4 linked regions of the Lonchura striata genome follow. The protein of the gene in region 1 purifies or fractionates together with the protein of each later gene. This does not show direct contact. Links are inferred from orthologs where the notes say so. Each region holds a gene or a part of one and is shown on either strand. Other genes may lie near its edges.

Region 1 (7,076 bases):
CCCAAACAACACCCAAGCAGCAACTAAAGCAGGTGATTAAAGGAAATAAAATGAGGCAACAAGAACCGGCTAAGGCTTCCAGCTCTGTTCTTTGCTGAGTTTCTCTTGGGGTTTGGGGGTTTGGTTTTGGTTATTGGGTTTTTTGTTGTTTTTTTTTTTTCCCTTTCACTCAGAGAAAGTTAAAGACTTAGAAAAATCCCTGTCCCTGATCACAGCATTGAGCTAGAATCAGCTGGAATTTCAACCCTGTGTTTAATCTAACTTTAAACATGCCTTCAAAATAAAACAAGCTACTTTTTTTTAACCTAGTCATAAAGTTTATTAAAATTGTTCATTAATGCTTCAAATGTAGCAAGAATGCATAGATCCCAAAATATACATATGTATTTTCTTATAGAAATAGATTATTCTTTATAATAAAAAAACTGTAGGAACATCTTTAACAGATTACTCAATCCATGACTGACAGTTACACGAGATTGCATCATGTACACAGCATTCCCAGCCATGCTTAAAGGATTGCATCACTTTGCCCTTGCTCTCCTCTCGCTCTTTTAAATAACCCAGCGCCCAGCAGAGCCCGCCCGGGCCGGGGCCGGGGTCCCCCCGCCCGCCCCGCTGCAGCCCCGGCCCCGCTCAGACCCCGCGCGGCGGCGGAGCCTTCCGCCAACATGTCGATAGAGACAAAAAAAAAAAACAAAAATCCAACAACAACAACAACAACGCAAATGAAAACCAAAGCCGCCCGCCCGCCGCGGGCTCTCGGGCCCTCGCCCCGGCCCCGGAGCGCGGAGCGGGGCCGGGAAGAAGCGGCGGCTCCGCTGCCCCGCCGCCCGGCCGGGGGTCAGCAGCGCGGCGAGGAGGCGAGCAGGGGCTCGGGCAGCTGTTTGAACAAGTTCCTGAGGGTGCTCAGCTCCCGGGAGAGCTGCTCCACCTTCTTCTGCAGCCGCTCGTTCTCGGCCGTCAGTTCCAAGACTTTATGCTGAGTCTCCAGGTTGCGCATTTTGGCTTTGTCGCGGCTCTTGCGCACCGCGATGTTGTTCCTCTCCCGGCGGAGCTTGTACTCGTCGCTGTGCTTGTCCACGCACTTCTTGGGCTTGTTCTTGCCCGCCGGGGCGGCGGAGTAGCCCCCGCCGGCGGCGGCGGACTTGGAGGACTCGGAGGGGTTGGGGGTGCCGGGGGGGCTGGAGGAGGATGAGGTGGACAGGTTCCCGCTGCTGCCGCTCGGCACCGACTGGTAACCCAGGTAGGAGCGCACGGTGCTGCCGTAGGGCGAGGACATGCCCCCCGGTCCCGGCCCCGCGCCCCCTTCTTCCTTCCGGGGCCCTTTGCAAGAGTCCAGGGTCTCGAAGACCGGCTCCACTTTGGTTTCCACGATCTGGGGCGGGAAGCAGCCCTGCAGCCCCCCCGGCTTGTGGCTCTGGCTGGCGCAGGGGTGGCCGTGCCGGGCGAGGCTGATGTAGGTGTAGTCGGGCTTCTTGCCGCCGCCGCTGCCTTTATAGTCCTCGGCGAAGAGATCGGAAAGGAAATCTTGGCCGGCGCCGCTGCTGCACGGAGGCTCAAAGTTGCCCCCTGCTGCTGCCGCGGGAGGCGGCGGCTGCGACGCCAAGGGCTCCAGGTACGGGCTGAAGTCGATGGCTCGCTCGTGGTCCCCGACGGTGAGCTCGGTCATGGAGCGGCCCCCGGCCGCCCGCGGGTGCAGCTTGTTGAGAGCAGCCAGACAGTCCGCCTCGTAATAGAAATTAGCCACTTCCATGGATTTAAAGGCGGGCGGCTGGATGGGGAGGCATGCTGCGTCCCAGGCCACCAGGCGTTGCATGAAAGCAAAGGGGGATGCGGGGAGGAGGAAACGACGCAGGGGACCCCCCCCGGCAGAGGCTCAAGCTGCCGCCGTCAGGGTGGGGGGCTCCAGACCCTGCCGCGGTCTCTGGCCTGGGCACGGCCCCGCGGCGCTGCCCGGCCGGGCTGGATCAGTCCCTGCGGCGCGCCGGGGCTTCACCGCTCCGGCAGCTGCGGCGGGGGCTGGCGCGTCTCCTCCGGACCATCTGGTTCTGGGTCCCGTGTCCTAAAGTCTCTGACTTAGGAAAGTTCCTTTCCCCAGTTATTTATAGGGGCGGTGGATCCCATAGCAACAGGCGCGTCACCGCCTGGCCGCCTGCCACTCCGCACGCTCGGCGCTGCCGGTCCCGGCCCCGGAGGAGGCTCCCGGGGCGGGCGCGCCGGTGCCGAGCGGTGCCCGCCGGGCCGCCCACAGTGCACCGGGCCGGGCCGGAGGGAGGGGCCGGGCTGCGGGCCCGCAGGTGCGGGAGGTCGGGGCTGCCGCGGCCAGGGCCGGCCGGGACGGCAGCGGGCAGCGGGCAGGGCAGCGGGCGGCCCCGGGGACAGCGTGTGCCGGGCGCTGCCGCTGCCCCGTGCCCGCCCGGGCTCTGCCGGGGCCCGCACAGCGAGGGGCTGGCAGTGCCCGGGGCTGGCAGTGCCCGGGGCTGGGCACAGATCGCTCCGCTTCCCTAGGGGAAGTCAAGGCAAGAGAGATTTTTCCAAGTTCTTTTGGCAAAGAAGGGGGAAAGCTGCACACCAAAGCCGGATCCCGTTACTCGGCGTCCCGGGCTCGCTTTGGCGAATCCCACTGGCACAGAAGTGCCACAGGGACGTGCCCAGAGCCGCTGGGCAGCGGCGAGCCCGGGGCCGAGCGATGGGGCTGGAGCAGGGCACTGCCCCGGCCTCCTCCTGGCGGCCGCAGCACCGGAGCCCGGCCAAGCCAGCGCTGCCTCCCGGCGCTTCCAGCACCCATGGGGGCCCTAGCGTTTGTCTTGGCATATTTGCTCTGCACGATGTGGGGCAACTGTCAGGGCACCCACGGGAGCCGGGAGCAGGGAACCGGCTCTGGAGCCAAAGGAGACGGAATGGGGGCCAGAGGAGAGTGAGGTTCGTGCATCAGAGGGTGGAATCCAAAAGTTTTGAGATTTGCGGGGTAAGTTTGGGAAGGAAGACTGAATCCCGATGTCCGTTTTAATTAAAGACACCCACCTTGGGAATCAAACTTATATTTTCACTCTCTTACTCCCACATTTACCTGTCTACAAGCTGATGATTCATGCCCAGAATAAAGGACATTAATTTAAAACAAAACATATAATTAAAGGAAGTAGGAGTGTCCTCCCTCAGTAAAGAAGACCTAGCACTGCAGGGAAAATGACACTGCCTCTTAGAATAATGTGAAGCAATCCTGCGGTGTGGGAAATATTGTAACGTTAAGCCAGAGGAACAGGTATTGCATTATATGATTCAAACAGTCAACTGTTCTTAATGTTCAAACCTCAGAACTCTGAAAAGAGGAAGAATTTAAGAATCAGTCAGTGGATCATCAGACTTTTTCTTTCTCTTTTTTTTTTATTTTTCTTTTCACGTTTTAATAGGATTTATTTGTTTGTTTCCATAACAAAAGCTCCCTAACAGGTTTTCAGGCTTCAAATATTTCTAGTTCCATCTTTATCTACCAAGTTAATCTTTGGTGAATGCACTAGAGATTAAGTTGGAGCTGGGCCTGGCCAGAGAGCTGGGTCTGGAGATTGTAGTTGGAGCCCATACCTTCATAAATACAAACATCTGTATTGGGTGCAAATACTGGCAAGCTGCAGTGAGCCAGGGCTTGTTCTTCTGGCTGTTTACTCCCTCATCCTGTGCCTTTATCCTGCATTCTGATCTGGCAGTTACATCCAGTGGCTGCCCTAACTGGCCCTTCCAACCGAACTCTTAAAAACCAGTCTGGTGTTTCCTACCCCAAACCGTCCCAGGGCCCCAGGGCAGGAGCCCTCCTGGGCACTGACCCGCTGCAGGCACAGCTGGTCTGCCTTGGCATCGCCCCGACGTGTCCACAGCTCGCCGTGGTCCTCAGCTGAAGCCGAATGCTAAAGCTGCTCGGTGAAGTTCTTGAAGAGATTTTCACGACGGTTTTGGGGATCTGCGTTTGCCCTCTTCAGATTTCTGCCCTGCCCTCGGCTGCTGTGCAGCAGAAAGCTGTATTCCTGCCGGGGTTGACCTTCCCTGACAAAAGGCAGTGAAACGTCCGCGCCGCTGCCGCGCGGAGCAGATCCTGCCGGCCCACGCTGAGTAATCCTGCAGTCACCCCACCGCGCCAGCCGGGCGGCAATCCAGGCCGCTGCCCAGCCTGTCCCCTCCTTCCCTCTCCCCCTCACCTCCCTGCTCTGCCTGGATCCCTTTCAACTTCCTCCAGCTCACCTCAAATCCCAGCATCCACTCTCCTGGGGCCAACGTCCGCTCCCAGCTTCTCATGGGAACCTTGTTGGCGGGACTAACCACGGATCCAAAACCCCAGCGTTCGGCAAGCAGGTTTGGGGCTAACTCTGGTCTCTTTTAAATTATTTCTGCACTTGTCACAACAAATGCACGGCCACGAGTGGGGATTTGGAAATGGGAGCAGGTGCAGAACGAGGCTCACACCGCAGGACTGAGCCGAGGTCTGGGCACACAGGGCTCCGTGCCTGTGAGTGCCTGGCTCGGCCTTGCCAGATGTGCAGAGACTGCTAATAATTGTCCTGAAAATTGGCCTGAAAAGCTCCTCAGAGGTGCTTTAGGCAGGGAGATGCAGACATTCCTGGTTAAGGGACCCAGGCACTGGCAGCAGCCCTTCAGCTTGTCTCCCAGCAGAGCAATTTTCATTATAAAAGCAGCACTTCTGTGAAAAGCACCTTCCTTCTAGTGATTTCATAATTTCTTTTTTTTTTCAGAACTATTCAGCTAAGGGAGGAGACAGCAAAAGTCCCAAATTACTTAGTAAGAATATAACATTTTTGAGAAAAAATTCTGATGCAATAGCATCCAGGTTCCTCTACATTCATATGTAAAACAATCCAGACAAAGGGAGGGGAACAGAAGGAGACCAGCATGGTGAAAAGGTGGAGGGAAGAATCTCATCCTCACTGCTCATCTCTGTCATGAATTAAACTCTGCTCTCTCTTTTTGTATTGTGGAAGCCTCAACTTTGCAGCTCAGACCCACAGTAAAGCATCGCAGAGGAATTTTCTTCCTGGAAATTGTCTTCTTTTCCAGGATTTCTTGCAAACTTTCCAGTTCACACACTCCAGGTCTACAGCAGCTGCCTCTGGAACGACACCAGCTTTGGGGAGATGCTGTGAGTTTAGTGGGGATGGCTCAGACACTGGAGTGTTTATCAGAAGGTCTCTGGAAAGAGCCTGGCTGACATTTCTGATGTTTCTTGCTCAGTTTTGCCCCATTTATTATTCCCCTGGCAGTCGCTCTCAGCAGGTCAGTAAGATCAGAGCTGCCTGGTGCTGGAGCTGCTCGTGCAGCAGCAGAGGGGCAGAGCAGGGCAGCGGGCAGGAGGGCGATGCCAGCAGCCGGCAGCCACAGCAGTGCCTGAGGTGCTGCGGGAGGGGTTGGAGGTGAGGAGGGGAACGGGAGGGACCCCAGAGCAGCGTCCCTGCAAACAAGCACGGAAGGTCTCTGGGGGGTAGGAGGGGACCTTGCCTAAAAGAACAGTGTTGCAATAAAGGCTGTAGAATAGAGAAGTAACATTGAAATTTATTTCTGAGCATGTTGAGCCCTTTTTTCCCTTCTGCCTAGCCCCAGGTCTCTCTTTATTCAGCTGCACACCATATGCCAACAGCAACTCAGCAGCTGCACCTGGCAGAGCACAGGTTTGAAACCATTGCTCTTCACTTGCTGTTCTCTGCTGTAAAACAACAGCCCTTGATGAATGCCAGGCAGGGACAATGTCTCAGCTCAAGGGAGAGGCTGGCTCTCCATCTGTCTGCCCAGCTCAGGCCAGGCTCGAGACTTTGCTTCATTTGAACACGAAAAGGGATTGCCACAGCTTTGCCCTGCTGCCCCGTGGCTGGTGCCGCGCTGGCAGTCCCAGGGGCAGGCTGTGTCTGTGGCCTCCTTCTCTTCTTTTGTTACAGACCGGGGTCCTGCCCCCAGCTCCCTCACCCTGTTCCCGTGGGACACGGTGATGGGCTGGGACATGCTTTTTGTTGGTCTTCTGCTGATTTTCTCTCACCTCTGACCCAGCAGGCTTGGCCTTTGCAGCGCTGCGTTGCTCAATCCCCTTTATCTCCACGCTGCTCTTTGCCCCAGCGGGTGAGTGGAGACGACACCTGGAGACTGACTCCAGTGGGACAACATCAGCCAAATGCCCTCCCGACCAGACTGAAAACTTTCCAGAGCAAACCTGAGGTCAGAGCAGCCACCCTGTGGCGCTGAGAAACAAGGAAAGGAGGAAGAGTCAGGACACCAAGGCCCATGGAAGCACAGGCCACAATCTCCATCCTGCATGGCAAAGTCCCTGCAGGAGCTGTCTGTTGGAAGGATGTGGGCTGGCAGTCTGAGCAGAGACAGTGAGAGGTGGCTGTATTTTATGAGTAGCCCGTTTCCTTGTGCTCCATTAAAATGGCAGAGAAGTTGCTGTCCACTAAGTTTCAAAAGTTCTCTGTAATTGCCTGACATTTCCTGGGTAATTGCAGCCTCCTGCTTTGATGAATTTGTTACAGGTCATGCATTTATGACATCTGGAGTATCCAAGCTTTCAAAAGATCCATCAAGAGAGATGAATTCTACCCTTCCAGGGTACCCTACAGAGTGTCAGAAGTTCCTAGTAACAGGACTTGGTAATTCATTTAGGAAATTTCTAAAAGAGAACTCTTCTGCAGTCCTGAGGCTGTGGGACAGACAGCCTGAACTCCATGGGGTGTATGGCAAGGGGCAACATAAAACAAGGGAAGTCTGAGAGGGGGTGACAGGGGAAGTGGCTTAGGGAAAGAAATAGAAGATTTTTTTTCTTTATTAAAAGCATTAGAAGTCCGTGCTCTAGACTGTGCAAATACTTGTTTTCCATCTGCTCTCATCCTGTGTCGAGCAGCACGGGGAAAGCGGGGCTGCCAGGGAATCGGTCCGGGCTTGTTGTTTGTGAGTCCTGGCACTCGGAAGAGCCCCGGGGCTGGTCTGTGCCACCCGGCAGCTGGCAGTGGGGACGGGCTGCCAGGCGGGGGAACCGCGCTGTTCCGTGCTCCGCACGCCGCGCTCCTCGGCCCCTGCCA
Region 2 (7,676 bases), on another chromosome or scaffold:
CTCCCTGGATCCCAGCTGCACACACAAAACCTCCCTGGATCTGAGCTGCACACACAGAACCTCCCTGGATCTGAGCTGCACACACAGAACCTCCCTGGATCCCAGCTGCACGCACAGAACCTCCCTGGATCCCAGCTGCACACACAGACCCTCCCTGGATCCCAGCTGCACACACAGAACCTCCCTGGACCCCAGCTGCACACACAGAACCTCCCTGGATCCCAGCTGCACACACAGACCCTCCCTGGATCTGAGCTGCACACACAGAACCTCCCTGGATCCCAGCTGCAGACACAGAACCTTCCCTGGATCTGAGCTGCACACACAGACCCTCCCTGGATCCCAGCTGCAGACACAGAACCTTCCCTGGATCCCAGCTGCAGACACAAAACCCTCCCTGGATCCCAGCTGCACACACAGAACCTCCCTGGACCCCAGCTGCACACACAGACCCTCCCTGGATCCCAGCTGCACACACAGAACCTCCCTGGATCCCAGCTGCACACACAGAACCTTCCCTGGATCTGAGCTGCACACACAGAACCTCCCTGGACCCCAGCTGCACACACAGACCCTCCCTGGATCCCAGCTGCATGCACAGAACCTTCCCTGGATCTGAGCTGCACACACAGACCCTCCCTGGATCCCAGCTGCACACACAGACCCTCCCTGGATCTGAGCTGCACACACAGAACCCTCCCTGGATCCCAGCTAAAACCCCTCCCAAACTACCTTGGAAAGAGTTTTCAGAGACAACAAATAACTGCTTTGGGACAGCCCATTTTAATATGAGGGATTATTGAGAAAGGAACTGCCTGAACAATGCACAATGTCCTAGATAAATGAGCATTGAGATAATAAAAAGAGAATTGCCCAGTTTACTTCTACACTGTGAATTTCTAAGTTACTATGGTGACATCAAGGTGTCCATTACAGCCTTTCCAAATTACTTTGAACAAGGGATCGAGGGACAGGACACAGGGAATGGCTTCCCACTGCCAGAAGGCAGGGATGGGTGGGATATTGGGAAGGAATTCCTGCCCGGGAGGGTGGGCAGGCCCTGGCACAGGGTGCCCAGAGCAGCTGTGGCTGCCCCTGGATCCCTGGCAGTGTCATGGACAGGGCTGGGAGCAGCCTGGGACAGTGGAAGGTGTCCCTGCCATGGCAGGGGGTGGAATTGGATGGGCTTTAAGGCCCCTTCCCACCCAAACCATTCCAGGATCTGTGACTTTGTTCCATGTAAGTCTCTCAGATGCCCCAGGACTCCAAACCCACGGCATGAGCCCATTCCCAGCTCTCAGGGAAGCAAGGCTCCACCATCCCTACTGCACCCGTACTGCCTGGGATGGGGCTGGCCACCTCCTGCATCCCTTCATGCACAGAACACCACAAACCCACTTCCAGACACTCCACACACAAACTGGGAGCAGGAGGGAGCCTGGAATAAATCTGCTCAGTACAATACCAATAATTTAATTTTCTATCATTGTCTTTGGTGCCTGTCAATGAGTTTTTCAAGGTCCAGTGTGAGTCTTCCACACTACTACTGAAACCTCCTTTGCTCTAAATTGTACTCTGAAGATACAGAGAGCTCCTCCACAGCTGTTGTACTCTAGAAACACAGAGAACTCTTCAATATTTAAGTCTTGTCTAATCCAGAGACAAAATGAGCAGCTCTGTAAATGCAACTCTCCAACCCTCCCTGCCCCTCAGGACCTCTGGATCCCTGACTGAGCTCGGTGGTGCTCTGGGATTATCTCCAGCTGGTCCCCAGTGTCCCTGGAGCTGGACACACCAACTGCTGCTGACAGCTTCACCACTGAGATGTACAAACATCTATTTTTAAGAGTATAGACTGGACAAAAGCCAGTTAAAATCACCACGTACTTCTCTGGGAGGAGCCACGCACCTACAGCAGGATGAAAACAGAACAAGTTGAACCAGAGTCCATTTCCAGCACATCCAAAAGGGAGCCAGCCCTTCCCTCCTGGAGTGTTAAGGCTTGATCCTTGAGCACTAGTATCAGTTTTCTTGTTTCCTCAAACCAAAATTACTTTTCATTTTTTAAAAGGATCGTCACAGCAACATTCCAAAACTCACTCACCCTGTAAAGTCTCCTTAGCCCAACTCTAATTACCTTTCAGATTCGCGAGAAATAAATACCTATTTTAGATAACCAGTTTGAAAGGAGGGGCTTTCCCTTGGCTCCCATTGCTGCACCACACAGAGCCAGCACAGAGCCAGCCTGGCCGGGGATTTCGAGCCACAGCAAATCCTTTCCGTGCTCAGCAGGGCACCTGGGCCCTTCCCGGAGCAGCGATTTCCCGGGATCATCCCGGGGCTGCTCGGCCAGGGCAGGGAAAGGCGAAACCACAGCTGCTCCAGGGCGTGGGACAGCACAGAACCGCAAGCGGAACAAGCCAAACTGCACGAGTATTCCGTAACATTTCCCCGTCAACACAAAGAGCTCGAGCGGCCGCTGCAAACGGCGCCCCACGCCCCGAGCCCAGCTGGAAGGACTGGAAAAACACACCCGAGCCCGGGCGGCTCCCACCCCAGGGCGCTGCAGCTCGGATTCCCAGGTCGGATCGCCCTTCTCGGATTCTCCGCCTCACAAAGAAGCCAAGCGCCAGCCGGGGCTGCTCCAGGGGCGGTGACAGCGGGGCTGCCCCAACCCGGGGAACGGCGGCGAGGAGGCGGGCCGGGGCCGCGCGGCTTCCCCGGGCACCGCCGCGCGGCGGAGCCGCTGCCAAGCCACGCCGGCCATCCCCCCCGGCTGCGGACCGAAATGGAGTTAGAAAGTCAGCACGCTTTAAAATTAAAACGCATAAAGAAAGCGAAGCAGCCGGGGCGTGCGAGGAGGAAGAGGAGCCCGCGGGCAGCAACGACGCTGCCGCAAGCGAGCCCGGGGCACGGCGCGGGGTTCAGCGCGGCTCCCAAAGCTCCCGCTGCGGTTTCCTCCCTTTGCCCAGCACTGCCGGCACCGCCGGGGCGCGGCTGAAGCGAAACCCGGCGGGGCCGGGACCTGCCCGCGCAGGAAAGTCGCTGCCGGGGCGAGCGGGCACCGGCCGGGCCCCGCGGGCAGCGGGGACGTCCCGGGGCCAGCGGGGCTGCCCCAAGCGCGGCCCCGGGCACCGGCCGGCGCCGAGGGAACGGAAATGTGCCCGGCGCTGCCGCCGAGCCGGCCCCGCGCCCGCCGCGGCTCACAAAGAGCGGAGCAAAGCTGCGGCCCCCCCCCGTCCCGTCCGCCGCCCGCCCGGTGCCCTCCGCCCCCGCCGGGCCGCACCTTCTTGTAGTGCTTCCCCAGCCACACGCGGACCGAGTCGAGCTGGGACACGGTGTCGGGGCTCTCCCAGAACTTGCCGGCAGGGCCGCCGTCCTTGCGGCGCGCCGCGGCCAGCGCGGGGCCGGGCCCGCCCGCCGGGGCCGCCGCGGGGCCGCTCCCGGGGCCTCCGCCCGCCGCCAGCGCCGCCGCCGCCATTGTCCCCGCGCGCCCCGCGCCGCGCATGCGCCGCGCCCGCGCCCCGCCCACCCCGGCAGCGCGCCCGCCGCCGGAGCGGGAGCGCGCTCGGGGACGCGCTCGGGGGGTCGGAACGGGAGCGCGCCCTCGGCACCGGCAAGGGGGTGCTCCGGGCCCCGAACTCCCCGTCCGTGCCCTCGGTACCTCTCTGGTCTGCTCAGGCCCCGCCTGGAGACCCCGAGCCCCAATTAAGGAGTAAATTGGGTGCTGACATAATTACCTGCAGGTGTCTGCACCAAGTCTTCACTGTTTGGGTGCCTTTATCTTTCCACAACCAGAGCCCTGGAACGGGTCATTATGAAGCAATTCCCCCCAATTTTCCTTTATAGAAACCACTTAGTTTTGAGTGTCTAGTAATGTTTTATTTGTGAATTGAACATAACAGAGAAAAAATTTAACAAACCAAAACCATGATAAACCATTTAAAAATACATATTTTAGTTCCAACATTATTAAATAGAGCACCAAGAGGTCCTTCATTAAAATCACAATCCCCAGTATAAAACTGTCCCTTGCATTTACAGTAGTTTGTAAATGTTCCTCGTCCCTGAACACTCCAAAGCAGAAATAAACACCTGCAGGAAAGGAAACCTCTGGAGATACAGGGAACAATAAACCCAGCAAACATCCTGCAATCTGAACTTCACCATTTCAGAACTGCCATTCTCAAAAGGCAGCACAATGAGCCCAGCCAACAATTCCAGAGGGTCTGTCTTGGGAGAGCCATAAAATCTCATCCCATCGCATCCCTGATTCCAGAGGGTCTGGCTTGGGAGAGCCATAAAATTTCATCCCATCGCAGCCCTGCCGTGGCGGGGACACGGAGCACTCGCTCCCTTCCCCTGTCCCGGCTGCTCCAGCCCCAATGGGACACTGGCCTGGGACACTGCCGGGGATCCAGGGGCAGCCACGGGTGCTCTGAGCAGCTCCCCGGTTGGGATCGGGATCGGGGCTGGTCCTTCCCCAGGATCGGGATCGGGGCCGGGATCAGGATCAGGGCCGGGATCGGGGCTGGGATCGGGATTGGGGCCGGGATCGGGATCGGGATCAGGACTGGGGCCAGGGCCGGGGCCAGGATCGGGGCTGGGATTGGGATCGGGGCTGGGATCAGGATCGGGGCCAGGATCGGGACCGGGATTGGGATCGGGGCTAGGATTAGGATTGGGGCTGGGATCAGGGCTGGCCAGGTCCATCCCCGGGATCGGAATCGGGGCCGGGGCCGGGATTGGAGCTGGGATCGGGATTGGGGCCAGGATCGGGGCTGGCACGGTCCATCCCCGGGATTGGGATCAGGGCCGGAATCGGGATCGGGATTGGGGCCGGGATCGGGGCTGGGATCGGGATCAGGGCCGGGGCCGGCCGGGTCCATCACCAGGATTGGGATCAGGGCCGGGATCGGGATTGGGGCCGGGATCGTGACCGGTGCCGGGATCGGGGCTGGCCGGGTCCATCCCCGGGATCAGGATCGGAATCGGGATCGGGGCCGGGATCGGGACCGGGATCGGGATCGGGATCGGGCCTCAGACCGGGATCGGGACCAGGACCGGGACCGGGACCGGGATCGGGCCTCAGACCGAACGGGTCCCACGGCGGGGCCGAGGCTACAGCGCCCCCAGAGGCCGCGCCGCCCATTGGCTCTGCCGTTGCCATGGGAACAACCCTCGCCGCCCATTGGCTCTGCCGTTGCCATGGGGACATCCCTCACCGCCCATTGGCTGTGCCGTTGCCATGGGGACAGACCCCGCCCCGCGCCCACGAGGGGCATCGCGCCGCGGCGCCGCCGGCCGCGGGGAACGCGCGGGCCGCCTCAGTTCCGGGGAGAGCGGAAGTGAAGTGCGCCGCGCCGGAAGCGCGCGCGGGTGCTGCCGGGAGCTGTAGTCCCGAGGGGCGGCCCGGCGGCGGCAGTCGCGGTGCGGAGGTCGGTGCTGGGCGGGCGGGGGTCGGACCGCGACCCCTGCGGAGAACCGGGGGGGCCGCGGGGGCGGCACGGCGGCGGGAGGCGGGGGACGAGCGGGGGATGGCGCCGAGCAGCGCGGGCTGAGGCGGGGAGGGCCGTGCGGGGCCGCGGCCTGTGCGGGCGGGGCGGCGCGGGCGGGGATGCTCGGCGGCACCGGGGATGCTCGGCGGCCCCGGGGATGCTCGGGAGGCCTCGGGGATGCTCGGGGAGGCTCCGGGGCACCGCTCCCCGCGGGCCCTGGGCGAGGGGTCGGCGGGGGGAGCCCCGGGAAGCGGCCGCGGAGCGCGGCTGTGCCCGGAGCTCCGTCCCTGCCCGGGGCAGGCTCCGCTCCGCTCCGCTCGGAGCTGCTCTGCCGCTGCCCTTCCCGCTCCCGCCTCTCCGCGCCCGCCTGCGGCTCGTCCCCGCCGGCCCCGTGGAGCCCCGGGGCCGCGGGAAGGGTCGCTCCGGGTCAGCGGTTTGGCCCCGGCGCCCGGGGCCGCTCGGAGCCCGGTGCCACCGGCAGCGCGTCCTTGCCGCCGCTCAGCAGCGAGGGTCCTGCGGGGCTGGCCGGGAGGAAAGGATTCCTGTAGGGAAAGGTTTCCTGCAGCCCTCCGCCGCTCCTTCGGCCCAAAGCACGGAAAGTACAGGATAAATCACGGCTGCGAGCGGCGGGCTGGCGCTGCCCGGAGCCCGGGCAGGCAATCCTTGGGCTGGATGTGCCGACAGCAGGATTTCTCCTTTGTTCTCCTCACAAAGCACTCGGGGCTCTGCCCCTTCCAACACCGCTGGACTATCCCAGCAGCCAATAATCGGAATTGCTGTGATTTTCCCTGCGTCTCTCTCGGCGATGTGGTTTTTCCTCATGTAGTTGTTTTCCAGTGGATCAAGGGACCCCAGCAATTCCTTCCCATCCTTTGGGATTTTATCTGACAATGTTCCGTGCCGCTTTGCCTGGTTTCACTCTTTGCCTTCGCAGCAGGAGCACTGAGTCTGTTCCTAACAAACTTTTAGTGTTTCTTGTGCCACTCGGGGCTCTGGAGTTTGCTGGGTGTGAGGCACAGGGCTCCACACTCCTGTGGATTCTCATTCCAGCTGTGCCATTGCCTGTCCAGGCCATTTCTTCACAAATCCAGTGTCCTCGGAGCTCCCACATCTCTCCTGTCATCAGACAAAATCCATTTTGAGTCTTGCAGTATCCCTTTCCATCTCTGTGTTTCCCTGCGGGCTGGAGCAGCTGCCACAGTTGGACACTTATTATTTGGGATTAGGATCTGCAGGAGCAAACCCTGGGATTTCCCCCAGGCTGCTGGATGTGCTAAAAGTGATTCCCAGGTTGCGCTCCTGCTGTCCAGATTCAGCAGATCCTTTATTCTCCTCCCTGTCCTGCCCCACTCCCACCCAGTCTGATTCTTACTGGTTCCCAGTAAGGCTCCCAGCCCAGCTGGGATCTGCAGCCAGGATCCTACCAACAGCTGGGTTGGAATCTTGCTTATCCAAGGGGATCTCAGTTGTTCACCTTGGAGCCTCATCCCCGGAGGGTTCTCCATTTTTTATTTCTTTGTTCTTGAGCAGAAAAGACCACTCTCATCAACTTTGTATTGCATTTACCCTTTTGGGTTGGAAGAGAGTGTAAGGATCATCCAGCAAGGCCGTGGTCAGGCTGTTCCCAATGTCCAGCTTGGTCTTGGACACTTCAGGGATGCAGGGAACACCCACAGCTTCTCTGGGAATTACATCCCAGCCCCTCCCCACCCTCCCAGCCAGCAATTGCTTCCCAATCTCCCATCCATCCCTGCCCTCTCTCAGCTCAAAGGCATTTTTGGAAGAACCCTTTTCCCCACCCCAGCATGGCTGGGGCATTCCTTGTTCCTGCTCCCTGAATTCCCACTAGGGAACGCTGCAGTTTACCTGCCCATCCTGTCCCAGGAGCTGAGGGAGGGATTCCCTGGATGATTCCCTGGGGTACCCCCAAAAACAGCTGCCCCTCTTTGGTCAGAATGTGCAGGGGGATGTGGCCAGTGCCCTGGGAGATGCATTCCCTGCAGCATTCCCTGTCCCACTCCTGGTTTCCTCTCTGCAGCACTTCTGGAGCATTCAGGGATTGGCTCCTTTCTGTCAGAGCAATACTGGACTCACCCAACTCATCAAAATCCCCTTGGCTTTAGGGCAGTTTAAGCCAGGCTGGGGTGATCCCCATGGAAGGGGACACAGGCTCCAGCC
Region 3 (7,674 bases), on another chromosome or scaffold:
GTGCACATTTTGACCTTAACAAGTCCAACAAAAACTGATGGAGATAGTAATTTCAATATATAGGGAGATAGTAATTTCAAACACACCTTTGTCACGAATATATGTAATATAGGTATGCAAGCTGAAGGACTTTTTCTCCTGTTAATTTTCAAGCCTCAGTTGTTGGTGAAAGCACTTTTCAAACTTGACAAGAAACGTTCATAGATTACTTCAGAAATGAACAAAAGATCTAAAACAGCTTTGAACACGCTCTTTTGGCACATGTTCCATCCAACACCACAGAAATACCAGTCTTAAAGAGAAATAATGTTTATAATATTTTTACTCTCACCTCTGGCAAGTCCACATATGCTGTATGATCCACACTAAATTTTAAAAGCCCACTATCCATACAGTATTTTTTCTTTCTATCACTGATATATATATATGTATATGTATAGAGAGAGAAAGACATAAAAACCTGCCTCGAGGCAAACCCATCCTTCTGACACACTACTTTTTTTCCTTAGAATCACAAAAGAACAAAAGAAACAAAGTCAGAGACAGTAATAGGGCAATTAGGTTCCCAAAGAGAAAGTGTGCCCGTATTTGCACAACAATAGTAACTTGCACATAGGAGACTACCCCACCCCGAACACGCAACTGGTACACTAGCAAAGGAATTAAATTCTGGTACAGAATTGTGTACCGTTTGGGTCTTAGGGTCTGTGGTTAAAACCACTTAACATTTCAGAAAGTTAAAAGAAAACCAGCGAAAATGCAAACGGAACAATGCAGTGTCACAGACCCCAGATCAATTCTACAATGAAAGCATGCAGAACACAGCGGAAGAAAACCCGACCAAACAAAAAAGAAAAATCCAGCAACTTTTAATCTTCAATTCTTCAGCTGGTTATTTACTTGCATATTCATATTCACATTAATATTCATAAAAATATATCCTAAAAAGAACAGCGTTAACCTAGCATTCGATAACTCCGAATATCAAACATATTAATCAGGTATCAAGAAAAAACAAATTCGGTACAATGTATGTAATCTGCTGACACTTTTACACTCCCTTTGCTTGACCATAACGCACGCTCAGGTTAAAAACCAAAACAAAAAACAATCCAAGCCAATCGTTAAACTGTAACTTCAGATCGAGTTTAGAAGAGCTGTAACTTTTCCAGCCGTGCGCAGTTCGTAGTTCCACCATTATAAATTTAAGAGGGGAGGAGACAAGGCAAGAAACTCCATTTCTGCACCGTGCACGCAAGGAAGAGCCGCGGCGGAGCACCCGCGACCCGGGAGCGGCGGGGGGCAAGGGCGGGCGCTCGCCGCCTCGGCGGCAGCCCCGCCGCTCTGCCCCGGCGCTCGGGCCCTGCGGGCGGGCGGCGCGCAGGCCTCGGCGCCGGCCGCCCGCCGCCTCCCCCGCCAAGGCGCCGCGGCGGGCGCGCACAACCGGCAGGGCCCCGTTTTCCCCCCTCCAGCCCTTCTGGAAAGTTTTCTCCCCGGCCCACAAGCTGTAAAGCGTCCCTGCCTGGAAATGCGGCCCCGCTGCTGCCTGTCCCCGCCCCTCCATGGAGCAGCGGGTGCGCTGCTGGCGGCGCTGCCCGCGCACGGCCCCGTACCTCGGCCGCAGGCGGGCGGGCGGGCGGGCGAGCAGCCGGGTCATGCCTCAGGGCTGGGCCGGGCCCGTCTCCCCGCCTCTCCTTCCCTCCGCCACCATGTCACGCCGACCAAACATGTCTGTGCGCCTGTGTGTGGCGGCGGTGACTTCCTGATCCGCCGCCGCTGGTACAGGCGGAGGGACGGGAAAGGCCACCCGCCCTCCTATCCTCCCCCCGCCGCCGCCTCCCGCCCCTGCCCCGCTGCGGCCCGCGGACGGGCTCCGCTGCCCCCGGCCCCGCCCGGCAGCTGGCTGCAGCAGCGCTCTGCCGCCCACCCCCGCCTCCGGCTGGGCACAGAACTTTTCCAGGTGCCAAACACCGCTGTCCCCTCTCACGACACGGGGGCCGGCGACCCGCAGCTACCTGAGCATCCGCGCGCGTTTGCATCCTGGCTCCCGCCCGGCCGGGTTAAAAAAAATAAATTTCCGCGCACACCGGAAATAAAACGCTTTTTTGCTTGGCAGGCGATTCCAAAATTGTAAGCGCATGTTTTGTGCTACTCTGCTTGGAGGTGGGGAGGAGGAGGGGGGTGAATTTCTGCAGGGAAAACGGGAGGGGTACGACGACATGCAAGCTATTTTGGGAAGTAAACCGCGACACCTTTCCAGCAGGAGTGACTGCACAGTTAAAAACAAGAGACCGAAAAGCAACAGGAGCCGCAGCCCTGTTGGGCTAAAGTCCAAGCCCCCGCTTCTTCCCCCTCCCCGGTGTGTGCGATGTTTGTGACAGGCACGCAGCGACGATCCGGATCATGGCCTCCCTGGCTCTGCCGGGGAATGCCGCTACTCTCCTCGCAGGCGAGACCGCTCCCCCCTGCACCATGTTCCTCCCCCCCCATGCCTCCCCACTTCCCCTTGCTCGGCTGGGTCTGAGCCAGCGTGTGCCACGGCGGAGGAACAGCCCCAGCGCACCGCGCTCTGCTGCCTCCGGACGCCCTGAACTTCACCCCGCGACCCCCGGCAGCTGCAGCGGAGCCGCCCCCGGCCCGTCCGTGCGGGCCGTCGCTCCCCAAGGATCTATTTGTGGCCGCTTCGCCCGCAGCCCGTGACACGCTCGCTGGGCGGCAGGACCGAGAGTGCCGCTGACTCACGAGTCAGCCACCGGCGACTCCGTGGGGGTTCTGTCGCTCCCGCTCCGGAGATCCGCATCGTGATTATTCCAGAATAATACCGGATCAAAACTTTCTTCTCCCCACCCACTGGGGGATATAAATATTCGGGAGGGCCCGGCACGGGGGAAGGTGGGGAGAGGAAGCAGGTGGCACGGCGGCGGCTGGGACCGGCGGTGCCGTGCGCAGGGAAGGGCAGCGATGGGGAGAGGGAAGGTGGGCACGGAGCGAGCCGGCACAGCCGGCGACAATAAAGGACCGTGCCCGGGCACGGGGAGCTGACGGGGTTGGACCGAGTCGCAAGTTGTATTTACCTTCCGCCCGGGCGGAGCGCCGTGCTGACTGTCGCTCCTCTCCCCCCTCAGTGAGTCACCCGAGTCCAGAACCGGAGCGAGGGACTAGATCACGAACATGACTTCATTGATGACAGCCATTCCCTCCTCTTCCTAAACTCCTGCCCCTCCTCCGGCCCCCCCTTCGCCTTCGCCACTGCTCAGACAGCGGTGTTGCCATTGGTCCGCCAGGCAGGGAGTGCCCGCCCCCTTGCGTAGAAGGGGCGGCTCTATTGGCCCGGGGAGCCGTCGCTCACGCGGGAGGCCGGGGGGGCGGAGGTGTGCAGGCGCGCGCGGGGCGGGGTGCGCCGCGCTCCGCGGCGCCGTGCGCAGGGCGAGCGCGGCGCTGCGCGCGGGCCGCACGGCCGCGGCAGCCCGCGCTCCCCGCGGCGGCGCCGCCGCGCCCCTCCCGGCCCGCCTCCGCGGCGCGGGGAGAGGGGCAGGACCTCTTTGCCTACGAGGGCGGCACTCGCGGCAGTAGTTTGGGGAAGAGGTGAAGAAGGTGCTGGAAGTGCGCTGTGCCTCTGCCCCGCTGGAGGGGCGGGGAGGAGCCAGCCTGACGGGCGTGGGATCAGCTGTGTCTGGCTGTTGGGTGTCTGTGTGTGTGCGTGTGCGTGTGCGTGCCCAGGGCGGGTGTCTCTCTCCCCTTAACATAAAAACACGTGTGTGGGGAAAGCTTAGAGCCCATCCCCTCTCTCCGTAGCAGAGGTTCTGTCGTGGACGACGGCGGGCTGCCGAGAGCGTTGCAGCGGACCCGGCCTGCCGGCAGGCTGCGGCTGTCCGCGGCCGCTCGCGGGGCAGGGCCGGGCGGCTGCGGAGGCACCGGCGGCGAGAGCGAACCCGGGGGAAGAGCCGCGGAGCAGCTCTTGTTTCTGCGCGATTGGGAGGGGAAATAGTGCATTGTGTTGCTTGCTTCCGTTTGAGTAGGTTTTTTAAAGTTGGTTTGGAAGGACACTTTCCAGTTCTGTATCCTAGTGCTGCATATTTTTTGGTTTTTTGGGTGTTTTTTTTTGGTTTGTTTTGTTTTTGGGGTTTTCTTTCTTTGGTTGTTTTTTTTCCTGTTTTGTTTTTTTTTTTTTTTTTGTTTTTTTTGGTTTTTGTTTTTTTTTTTTTGGTTTTTGTTTTTTTTTAATGCTTCAGGTGGTTTACGTGGTTTGCAGCAGGGGCTGCAGAGCTCCCATGTTTTTTGTACAAGCTGTACCTGTTCATGTAACAGGCAACTAAGTACTTCATTAAAATAATGGGCCTACCTGTCTGAGGTTTTTTTTTTTTCTTGAACACGGGTTGTAGAGGTAAAAAAAAAAAAAAAATGCAGCCAGATTACTGTACGTGGTGTTAGAGGTAGTTACATTTTTTTAAGATTATGTCACATGGGCAGTATTTGCCATTCTGCAAGTAAAATTTCACTTCGTATGGAGTAAGAATGTTCATAGGAATCTAAGTAAAATCAGTAGCTACTACAGACGCTCAGGTGACCGAGTTTAAGTGAAGTTCCTGAGCTGTGGTCAGGTGGAGTAGTTAAAGACCTGAAATAGTGCTGGGAGCACCAAATGCATCTTATGGTCTTAAAGTGACAGATATTGTTTACACGGTGTTTAGCGTGGAGCTCTTTTTATTCAAATCACCAATTTGCAATGCTGGCAATACAATACGAATTACTACTGTTCCTGTAGTTTTCCAGTTTAATCGTCTTCATTTTATTTTTTTTTATGTAAATGGTCAAAATGCTGAAAATAGGTGTGTAAGAATCAGTGCTAACTGGATAATGCAAAGTATCAATAAATTAAAAAGTTTAAAAGGCTGTATTTTCAGTTCACCATTGTCATTGCAAAATATTTACTTGGGAACAAAATCAAAGAAGTTGAATCATTCAAATCTTAATATACAAAATAACTTATGTCATTATGTAAATCTTTTGATTGACTTGTAATTTAAAACTTTGTTTTTAGCTTTGTCTTAAGCTGCAAACTGGCGTCTAAGAGATAAAAGAATGTATTTAACATTCTTGGAACATTATGCTAATGAAAATGAAAGGGGTAAAGAGATGCTTTCTCATTATAATTTTTTTTCTTAATACTGAAACTCTCATTAGGCAGTCATTTACGCTTGTCGTTTGTTTTTCTTCCTCCATTCCCTAGTGTAAATCTGAGGACTGTTTGCCTTTTCTCTCTGCCAAAGAGACAACAAACATTAAATAATGGAGGGGAAGCTTTCTTTCAAAACAGCTCGACTGTTTGCTGGATTCAGCAACACTCAAAACATTCTAAACCAGGTCAGGCCATTCTTTTTGTTAGAAAGTATACAGAGAAGAAAAATAAATAAAAAGTTAATCTTTTAGGCAAAAGAAGAAAGGTTCTCTTGACTCTGGAATAGATACAGCTATATTTAGTTAATGATTATGTTTATTTTGGGAAGGTTGCAGCAGCCAATTCCATTTTGAGAGCATGAACATGCCTGTTGCTGGTGTCAGTCTGAATGCTTTTTCTTTTTGTGTTTTGATGAAGTACCATTGAATCTCATTGTAATCTGTCTGGAGTGGGTGGGAAACATGAGAGTTTTTTGTCAAGTGAGGCATGTTCACCTGATACAAAAATCCTAATTGGAAGGGTCAGTAAGGCTTCCCTATATGAGCCTTAAGTAGCTGAAGCTTTGTTTATAATGAATATGTTGATGATGAATAGTCACATGCTATAGGATAAATTTGTTTTCCCCCATTAATTTATCTAATATAACAAAAGGAAGAAAAGATGAGGGTCTTTAACTTGAATTAAATGGATATGGCCATTAATGGTAAAATAGCATGTAAAATTTTCAGACTAGATGAGGTACCACTACAAAAAGAGATATTTCTTTGAGTAGCTAGATATGTTGCTGTGGAACTAAAGCTTTTTTATTTGAAGAATTATACCAACACAGTAAGGCTGTTGAGAAACTGATGTATCGGTGGTACTCTTGAAGGGACACTTCAACCAAAAAGAGGTCATTACCACCAGGGAGTTGCAATTGTTTACAGCAACCTCACCATTACCACCTTGAAACCCCTGCTGTAACAGTTAGGGCTGCTATTTCTGTGTTTGCTATCACTTGTCTGCCAGAGACAATTGCACTCACTGCAACAGAAATAGCAGAAAAAATTATATTTTAGTATTTCAGCCGGTTCTTAGCAGAATCCAGCTGCTTTAGCCTAGGTGGCTGTGAAAAATGGCTTAAGCTAGAACATTCCAAGAAGACAGCTTTATGCTCAGGCTTCTGCTTCAAAATGTTCTTCAGTGTGTCCAGGGAAATCATAAAGAAGTGAACTTGGCCATCCACAAGTTCATGGGCTCTGCTGGGTTCCTTCATACTTATGAATGCTGAAAGAACGAGTAGACATGATTGCTCTCAGATCTTTGAAAGGTCATGGCAGTCAGGAGAGGTGTCACAATACTAGAGGACAGCAAGTACCACCCTAGTCTTCAAAGGCGGCAAGAAGGAGATTCTGGGATCTACAGGCCGATCGGTCTCATCTTAATCCTGGAAAAGGTAATGAAACGTTTCATCCTGGAGGCCACCTCCACATACATGGTGGACACAAAGATGATGAAGAGTAGTCAGTGTGCTTAACTAACCTGATTGCCCTCTATGCTGAGACAATTACCTGGGTGGATGAGAGGGAAGAGCAGTAGATGTTTACCTGGACTTTGAGCAAGAGTTTTGACACTGTCCTCTGGTGTTACTCTCATAGGCAAGCTCAGGAGTATGGGCTGGATGAGTGGACAGTGAGGTGCCAGTTCTCACTGCAACCTCACTGTCCGACCCAAATTTCCTGAGCTTGAACTGCAGATCCCCGAGGGTTGTAATCAGTGGCACAGAATCTCATTGCTGGCCTGTCTCTAGTGGTGTCCTCAAGGGCTCAGTACTGGTCCAGTATTGTTTAACTTGTCAGTCATGGGTAGATGCCTCCTCAGCAAGTTCACTGACAACACAAAGCTGGAAGGGAGCGGCCAGTACCCAGGAGAGCTGTGCAACCCTTTAGAAAGACTTCAGCAGATTGAAGAGGTGGGCAGAGAGGAACTGTCTGAAATTCAACATGTCCAGTTCTGGGCTCCTCAGGGCAAGAGAGGCATGTAGCTCCTGAAGCATGTTCAGCTGAGGGCAGCATAGGTGGGGTCTGGAGCATTCCAGCTGGGACAGGGCCTATTCAGTCTGGAGAAGAGAAGACTGAGAGAAGATCACATCAATATGTATAAATATATGATGGGTGGCTCTCATGAGGATGGAGTCAAGTTCTTAGTAATGCTGAGTAATGGGCAGAAGCTGGAAGATAGAAACATTCACCTGAACATGAGACATGAGGAAGAAATTCTCTACTAATTGAGCACTGGAGCAGGTTGCCCAGAGTAGTTGTGGAGTCTCCTTCCCTAGAGTACTTAAAAGCAATGTAGACAAAATTCTGACTACCATGCGCTAGGGCATCCTGCTTGAGCGAGGAAGCTGATGACCGCCAATGAGCTTTTCCTCACCTACTTGTTAAAGGGGAACAATACTTGCCCTGAAGTAGGTGAATCCTGGTGGGAAGGTTACTCCTTACACATCTGTTGTT
Region 4 (7,516 bases), on another chromosome or scaffold:
GTTGTTCTTGTTTTGGGGTTTTTTTAATAGCTGTATGGATAATTACAGTATGTGTTATCTACTCTGGATTAGAACCACAATAATTACAGGAAAGTCAATTGTAATTAACTTAGTGCAGGTAAGCAAACAGCTGCCTCAGGGTAGCAGTGTGGGTAAGCTAAATTTCCACATGATCAACTTAGAACTGCACAGGTCCCTGTACGTTACTTCTGGAACCCAGCAAGAAATGTTGGGGTCACGTGCCCTGAGAAGAAGATAGAATTTGCTTGGAGATATCTAAAAATACACTGTAAATCCACACTGGTGCAAATGAGAATAGAACCTGGTTGATCGCTGAGCCAAACACAAAAACCAGAGCAGAGTGAATTAACTGCCTGTTGCTGGAAAGTATCAGGTCCTATTGCAGTCTTCCTCACTTCTTCCTCACCCAGCCACCACGGAAGAGCTGAACATTTCCCAGAGTCTCAGGGTGAAATCCTGGCCCCAGTGAAATCAATAGGACTTTTTCTGTTGACCTCAATGGGGCCAGGATTTCACCCATAGTTATTCAAGATGGGGAAATTATTTGGAACAATTTGTTATTCAGAAAGACCTTGGGAAATTTATGTAATTCTCTTCAGAAAGCCCCTGCTCATGAGTCACATTTAAAGTACTGATACAGTTTAATCCTATAATCTCAGAAAGCTAGCAGTTACTCTTTCCCAGCAAGTCAGAAATGGCCCTATTAATTTCCAGCTGAAGCCCTCCCAGTATTATTTGCCATTTGCCAACATTCAACCATTCAATTAATTTTTAAACAGGCTAATTCCAGATGACACTGAACCCCTCACTGCCAGCAGAAATTTCAGTTATTTTCACTGACTCAGTGTACTTGAATGCTGGTGATGGCTTCATTCAACAAAGTTAATTCTGTACAATTCAATCCATCCAGGAGTCTTAAAGTAACAGTAAAACTGTTTTTCCAACCTCCCAAATAATTAGTTGGGCTAATAATTTTCAAGCTCTGCTGCTTTATTCAATTATTTTTCATTTTAGGTGAACTTTTAATTAAGGTCAGCAGCAGCACCAGAGGAAACCAAGAATGTGCCTGAGAAATTGTGTTAATTGTGGATTTCTAGTAGTTAGTGTAAGTGTACCCCAAACACCACCAAAACCCTACTATAATGGCTTCAGGTTCTCTCACCCACCTGTCATTAGTGTGCAAAAAAGGAGTGGTCAGGTGTCCAGAGCAGGAGAAAGTGTCCTTGACCCTAGGAATTTGCTGCTCTCCTGCCCGGACAGCTCACTGCCTTCCCAATCATCCTGAAATGCACCTCTAATTGCTCCAGGAAGGTAGATGCTTTACAGTTTCTGGGGAACAAATCTGTTTTCAGAAATGTTTTACAAATAGGAAAATTCAATTTTACTATTAAAAAAAAAAAAATGCAACAAGTTGCCCTTCCTTGTCCCAGCTTTTGTACAAATTGTCCCTCTGTCCAAAGGCCATGCAGAGCACTATCTCATTTCCTCTGGCTTTGCGAAGGCTGGGGAAACAGTAGGAATAAGAATATCAAGCCTTAGAGTGTGATTCCGTCGTGGCCTTTCTGATACAATCTCTGTTTACTGTGTTAGACCACGCACATGTTCTGCAGTTACTGCCACTGGAGGTGCTGAACACTTCTCAGCCCTGCACTGCTGCCGGCTCAGCTTGTTCCCGGGCTGAGTTAATGCTTCAGTGCTTTAGCCTTACTTTTGAAATTCTCAACAGTTTTACTATTCGTGGCAATATGAATAGTAAACCTCCCAATTCAGGTAGGTTCAAACAACTCTATTCATTCGTTCTCCCCCTGCTTTTTGTTTGTTGTTTTAAAGATGATTCTTTTAATCTGCAATGACTTTTTACATCTCATCTGCCAAGATTTTAAAATCCAAACAGGCTTCCTAGCCGTGCACTTCCATTAATTAAGTATATGCTTGCTTAATTTTAATATTGAAAGTGACTACTTTCAGTTTTTTCTTGCTTAACAGCAGATGGCTGACTATGTTTCTTGGTTTTATTTCTTCATACAAATTCCTTTTCCTCTGGTGCTGATGCAATAAACCTTGATAACCACTGAGGTTAATCTTAAACAGCCTTAAGAGCAATTACAGTTCACAACCTCTGTGCACGCTAGTTGACCTTAAGCTTTCTGACATCGCACATCGCTCCCAAACCATTTTCTGCTGCCTTCCAGCTTCTCAAATGTTGTTACCAGGAGGAAAATCGATTTCCACCAGGAAACTCATTCTCTGAAAGAAGCCGTCCGTTGTGTCACGCCTGATTTGCTTAGGCAACAGTTCAGCAACTGATCTACTTCACGTCAAGACACCGGGACAGCAAGGAGAGTTGGTATCCCCCGGCTGTCACCAGAAGTTCCCGGTCGGTTTACGGGAACATCAGCGACGACTCTACGCGCGGCAGCGCCGGTTTGTCGCCGCCTGGGCTGTCCCGCCGCATCTCCCCGTCCCGGTGCCCGCGGTGCCGCCGCCGGCCGCCCGCAGCGCCGGGCGCGGCCGCTCCGCTCGGGCATCCCGCGGCTCCCGGGAGCCGGGACCGTGCCCGCCGCGGCCGCCACCGCGCGGTGCCGAGCGGCGCTGCCGGCCCGGGGACACCGGGGCTGGCCGGGCACCCCCGGCGCTCACATCTGGCGGCAGCCCGGGCAGGGGTTCCCCCAGATGTGAGCGCCGGCACGGCACCGAGGGGCTCCGGCGGAGCTCGGCGGGGCCGGGGGCTCTCCCGGAGCTCACGGCCGGCGGCGGAACCACCGCGCCCGACTTCGCCCGGGGCGGCGAAACTTTTTTCCGGCGAAGCAGCGCGGGTCCCCCGGCGGGCATCCATCCCTCCGCGGCGGGACAGCCCTCCCGGAGCTCAGCCCCTCGTCCCGCCGGCACGGGCAGTCCCGGCCGCTCCTCTCCTGCTCCCACCTACCTTCCTGCCGCCGCCGCCGCCGTCCGGGCAGGAGGGAAGGGGCTCCGCAGCCCCGCCGCGCCCGCGCTGCTCCGCCGCCTCCCGCGGGAGCGGCTCCCTCGGCTCCCCGCGCCTCTGCCGCTCGCCCGGGTTGCATCACCCCCCTTTTATAGCCGAGCGGGCAGCGCTGGTATTTACTCTGGCGGCGAGTCCCTGGCTGATGTCATGCTATTAATAGCCTCTCCGAAAGAGAGGGAGGAGGGAAGCGGGCCGTGGCGGTGATGCAAGGCTTCCCCGCCGGCACGGCACGGCACGGCACGGCACGGCACGGAACGACACCACCACCGCGCCGAGCCGAGCCGGGCCGAGCAGCATCCCTCGGCACCCCGACAGACCCCTTCTCCTTCCGTCTCCACCGTTCTCCCCGTCATTTATTTATTTATTTCTATTAAGACTCCGAGAGTTTCTTTCTCCGGGCTATTTTACTTCTGACAATAAATCAAAGTCCCTCTAGCGACAAAAAAAAAAAAAAAAAAAAAAAAAAAAAAAAAAAAAAACAAACAAAAAAAACTGGTAATTGTGTATTTTTCGAAGGGACTGACCTTTCTCTAGAGGAAAAAAAACTGTTCATGACCCCCCCCCACTCCCCGGTTTCTCTCATTCTCCCTCCTCCTCCCCTCGCTACTTTAGATGACAGCTAAAAGTTCCGTTCACATAAAGGAGAAAGCTTCGTTTTTACTCTGAGAAGAGTAAATTAATAAAATTATAGACAGCTAAAAATAACACTGTTTGGGGGTTTTGTTTGTTTTGTTAGGGTATTTTTTAAAACTTTTCTTAAAACACAGCAGCATGCGATTTCCTTATAATCTCATGAAAAACCAGGGAATTCCTACAGCAGAGAGGGAAATACAGTTGTGGCTGTGGTAAAGGGGTTTTTGTTTAGTTCTTTTTTTTCCCCCTCTGGTTTGTTAACAGACAGAAATTACCTTCTAACAGCCTTCAAAGTGCTAGAAAATATGATGTTTAAAAAACAAACAAAAAAAATCCAAAACAAAAACCAAAACATCAAAGAAAACATTTAGCTGGGGGAGACACAGAAAGCTTACAAAGACAAATGCATGCAATCATCCAGTACTATAATAATTAATATATAATATATGCAAACTTGTTATTAAGCCAGTCTTCAAGCCTCTGCACTTGACTTGAAAAGACCAGGACATTTCATGCTTGAGTACATTGTATTGTAAGTAAACCAACATGAAATGGATACCTTAATATATAAGATGCATATCCCAATCAAGTGCTCCAAATTGTTGATTAATTTTATAATGTTCAATATATCAGTTTTGATAATAGGTAATAAGTCTTGAGTGGTATATTCTGGTATATTTTTATTACTTGGAGCATTTTGTGAAGAATACAAATTAGTAGTAGAATAGTAGTTTACAGAATTAGTAGAATAGAGACTAGTAGTTTGAAAGTCCTTCTGTATCTCCCTTCTGTGTGCTTGTGATGGTCTGGATATATATATGTGTGTGTATATATATATAGAAAGATAGATGATATAGATATATATATAGATATAGATGATTGATATAGATATAGATGATATAGATATAGATATAGATATAGATGATATAGATATAGATAGATATAATATTGGCCACATAGTCTGGAGTAATAAATTTAGTTTTTTTTAATGTCCAAGTGCCAGTAACTTTGCAAAATTAACACTCCTATTCCGCATTTAGTTGCCTGCTCTTGAAAGAAAAATCCTGATCTGATGGGAAAGGAAGGAGTCTGGGGTAGTGACGTGGGCTTCCCTCCTGTGGAAGGTGCAGTCGCAGCCTGTTCTCTGCAAACAAAGAAGTGCATTTTGTCAGGGCAGCAGTGAACTCCTCTGACCTACCTGGCAGCACTCCATTTACAGCTCCTGTGAGCTGCAAGCTTTTTTTCTTTTTCACTCACCTATAGAGAAATCATTCTTAGCTCTATCAAAACATAGTTATTGCTGCATTTTTATTAATCTAGATAAATCAATGTCAAGTATAATGCCAGGCAAAAACTTTCAGAAGGGTCTAGAGAAAGCTTTTCAGTTCACCTTGTTACAGCCTAATAAGTTCTTTTTACTTCAGAGGCACAATTTTATAATTCATGCTGTGCTCAAGGACAGCTGGCACTTTTTCTCAAGCCTAGAAGAAAAAAAAATTCCTCTCAAGCAGAAGCCAAATGTGGAAAATTTCTTCCCAAAAGATAGTTGGTTGGAAAATTTTAAGCACTGTGGAAATGTGTTAACAACATTGGTTTTAGTGGCCAAGAACAGGTGTCTGCTGCAATTATGACAGAAATTTATCAACTGTCTGTCCTTATTTATTTAGGCAGCTGTATCAGAAGTGGGAATGTATTTAAAGTATTTTCAGCTAAACAGAGCAGTGTTGCAGAATAATGGAAAAAAAAAAAAAGCAGTTCTCCCCTTCCGTGTGGGTAGAAGTACCTTGGAAATCCAAGCATTGTTATCCAGTTGTGGATGGTCACTGGCATCTACTTGTTTGCTACACAATGCTGGTCCCATTACTTCCCATGAGCTGCAGCCAGCACTAAAATCTGACATCAAACCAGTTGTGTTCATTCTTGAACTTGTCCTGAAGTGAGCCAGCTCCTCCCTGCAAAGCAAACAGAGAAATGTTCCTGTGCGCATTTGAGATTAGGCCACTGAAACATGTCCTGGCTTGAGTCTTCAGTGAAAAAAGAAAATGAAACCACAGTGAAAAATAAACCCAGCTCCACTGTGTTGTATAGGTTTTATCCAGATTCCTTTTGAAACCAAAGTTAAGCTAATCTCAGTTGGATCATACCCCAGTTAAAAAAAAAAAAAAAAAAAAAAAGTAAAATTTAAGACTATCAGGAAGTTAAAGTAACACCCAGTACAGCCACCAGATACTCTGATGTTCTTGCCAGTTTAATTTTCCATCTCATAAAATATCTTTCATTTGCCTCCCCATGAACATTTACCGGTCCTTTTCCAATCCATGTCTCTCTTTCATCACAAACTGCAGGGGACATATCCCCTGAAACAGCATTTTTTTGACAGAGGTAACATCCACGATCTTAACTGCTGTTTCTCTTAAGCCAGGTACAGCAGCTCATCACTCAGACTGGTGTGTACTGGGTTCTTTTCCCTCTGCAGAGAAATCAGGCTGAATACCACCTCTGGCGTGGTCCTTGCAGCCCTCCAGCAATCTCCAGTGTGCAGAAAAGAATTCTTTCCTTTATCTCTTTCTGACCAAGTCCTGCCTCCATATCACTTGGCACTACTTCACACACTGTGGATATTGGATTAAAATTAAAATATGGCTGTCTCATTATTAAAAAGAGCTACAGACATACAGAGGAACAGACCCCCAGTCTCACAGCACAAACTTTCTCTTGTCCTAACATTTATGCTACTGCAGGACATCAGTCAGAGCAACACAAAAAAAATCTCCATGTCCCATCCAGATCATGTGCTAATTTCTGGTCACACAGTTCCATTAAACCTGTTCAGTCTGATGAAAATATAATGAGATTTAAATAAATCAAATGTGTAGTGATAACATGAGTAAAAACTGCCTCTCTGTGTGTTTTGTGGTTTGAATTGTATAAAGTTTTGAAATTACTGTAACCCTGACAAGACAAAACTTTCAATGCACAGCACATATAAGAGAAACAGATTTCCATAATTCAGAGTTATCATGTGGTAAAATCTGCACAAAATCAGGTTTTCTGACTCTGCCTGAAATATTACTCTCTACTTCTGTGATGGGAACTAACCTTCATAATCATTTTTGCTATGTGTTACATTCAGGTCTGAATCTATGTGGCAGGACTCCTCTGTTCACCAAAACATGCAGGAATTTTGAGATAATTTTCCCATCTCACTGTACAAACACCAGGGGTGAAACTCGGGACTAGTTTTTCCAGCATGTAGGTTGTTACTGCTGGAACTATGGGAGCAATCAGCAGCAGAAGCAGCATCAGCCACCTTCACCCTGCCCAGAGTTTTTCAGCAGCTGTCTGGGGACTCTTTGAGCATCTGTGGGCTACTTCCATAGGTTTCTCCAAAAAGGGAATAAAAAACATCCAAGCCTACAGGAGCAAGGGCAAAATTCACTCTGGAAGAGCTGGATCTCTATGGACTGAAAAGGTCCAAAAATGGAAGTTAAAACCACAGGGTTAGAAAACTGACTTTCACTGAGACTGTATGGCAAACGCTGCCACTCTCTTATATTTAATACCTCTCAAGCAGATGAACAGATAAATATATGTATTGTGGAGGGAAATAGGTGCTGTGTTTTAACAGCTTTTATTCTTTAACACTGAAGATAAAATTATTTTGCTCTTTGTTTTTCTCTCCACAGCTTATCTTTCTTTCCTTACTGCCTTCTCCATCAATAGCCATTTACTCTTAATTTATTCTCTCCTTTAAAAATCCTATTCCCTGCTCTCTTTTGCTTTGTTTCTTAAGTTACATTTCCCATTTCTTTAAAACAGCAGCTTCTCCTTTTATTTTGCCACTTCCCTGTTTCTACTCTTCTCACTTCTCTCTTTTCC

What was found.
Region 2: the proteins of CEBPB (region 1) and SMARCC1 purify together in Homo sapiens (affinity purification with western blotting; 3 studies listed by BioGRID, with this or other methods). This does not show direct contact. The link is inferred for Lonchura striata from reciprocal best matches to the Homo sapiens genes CEBPB and SMARCC1.
Region 3: the proteins of CEBPB (region 1) and SMARCA2 purify together in Homo sapiens (affinity purification with western blotting; 5 studies listed by BioGRID and IntAct, with this or other methods). This does not show direct contact. The link is inferred for Lonchura striata from reciprocal best matches to the Homo sapiens genes CEBPB and SMARCA2.
Region 4: the proteins of CEBPB (region 1) and ATF3 purify together in Homo sapiens (affinity purification with western blotting; 3 studies listed by BioGRID and IntAct, with this or other methods). This does not show direct contact. The link is inferred for Lonchura striata from reciprocal best matches to the Homo sapiens genes CEBPB and ATF3.

The regions. Positions count from the first base shown.
Region 1 is NC_134619.1:966,402-973,477, reverse strand, and holds CEBPB (CCAAT/enhancer-binding protein beta), read right to left. Parts: upstream 2,093-7,076; 5' UTR 1,820-2,092; coding exon 845-1,819; 3' UTR 830-844; downstream 1-829. UniProt on the Homo sapiens protein: Important transcription factor regulating the expression of genes involved in immune and inflammatory responses. Also plays a significant role in adipogenesis, as well as in the gluconeogenic pathway, liver regeneration, and hematopoiesis.
Region 2 is NC_134603.1:156,475,820-156,483,495, reverse strand, and holds the start of SMARCC1 (SWI/SNF complex subunit SMARCC1), read right to left. Parts: upstream 3,533-7,676; 5' UTR 3,509-3,532; coding exon 3,287-3,508; intron 1-3,286. UniProt on the Homo sapiens protein: Involved in transcriptional activation and repression of select genes by chromatin remodeling (alteration of DNA-nucleosome topology).
Region 3 is NC_134642.1:16,215,856-16,223,529, reverse strand, and holds the start of SMARCA2 (SWI/SNF-related matrix-associated actin-dependent regulator of chromatin subfamily A member 2), read right to left. Parts: upstream 3,246-7,674; 5' UTR 3,075-3,245; intron 2,079-3,074; exon of another isoform or gene 2,016-2,078; intron 1,712-2,015; exon of another isoform or gene 1,614-1,711; intron 1-1,613. UniProt on the Homo sapiens protein: ATPase involved in transcriptional activation and repression of select genes by chromatin remodeling (alteration of DNA-nucleosome topology).
Region 4 is NC_134605.1:11,855,172-11,862,687, forward strand, and holds the start of ATF3 (cyclic AMP-dependent transcription factor ATF-3), read right to left. Parts: upstream 3,122-7,516; 5' UTR 2,948-3,121; intron 1-2,947.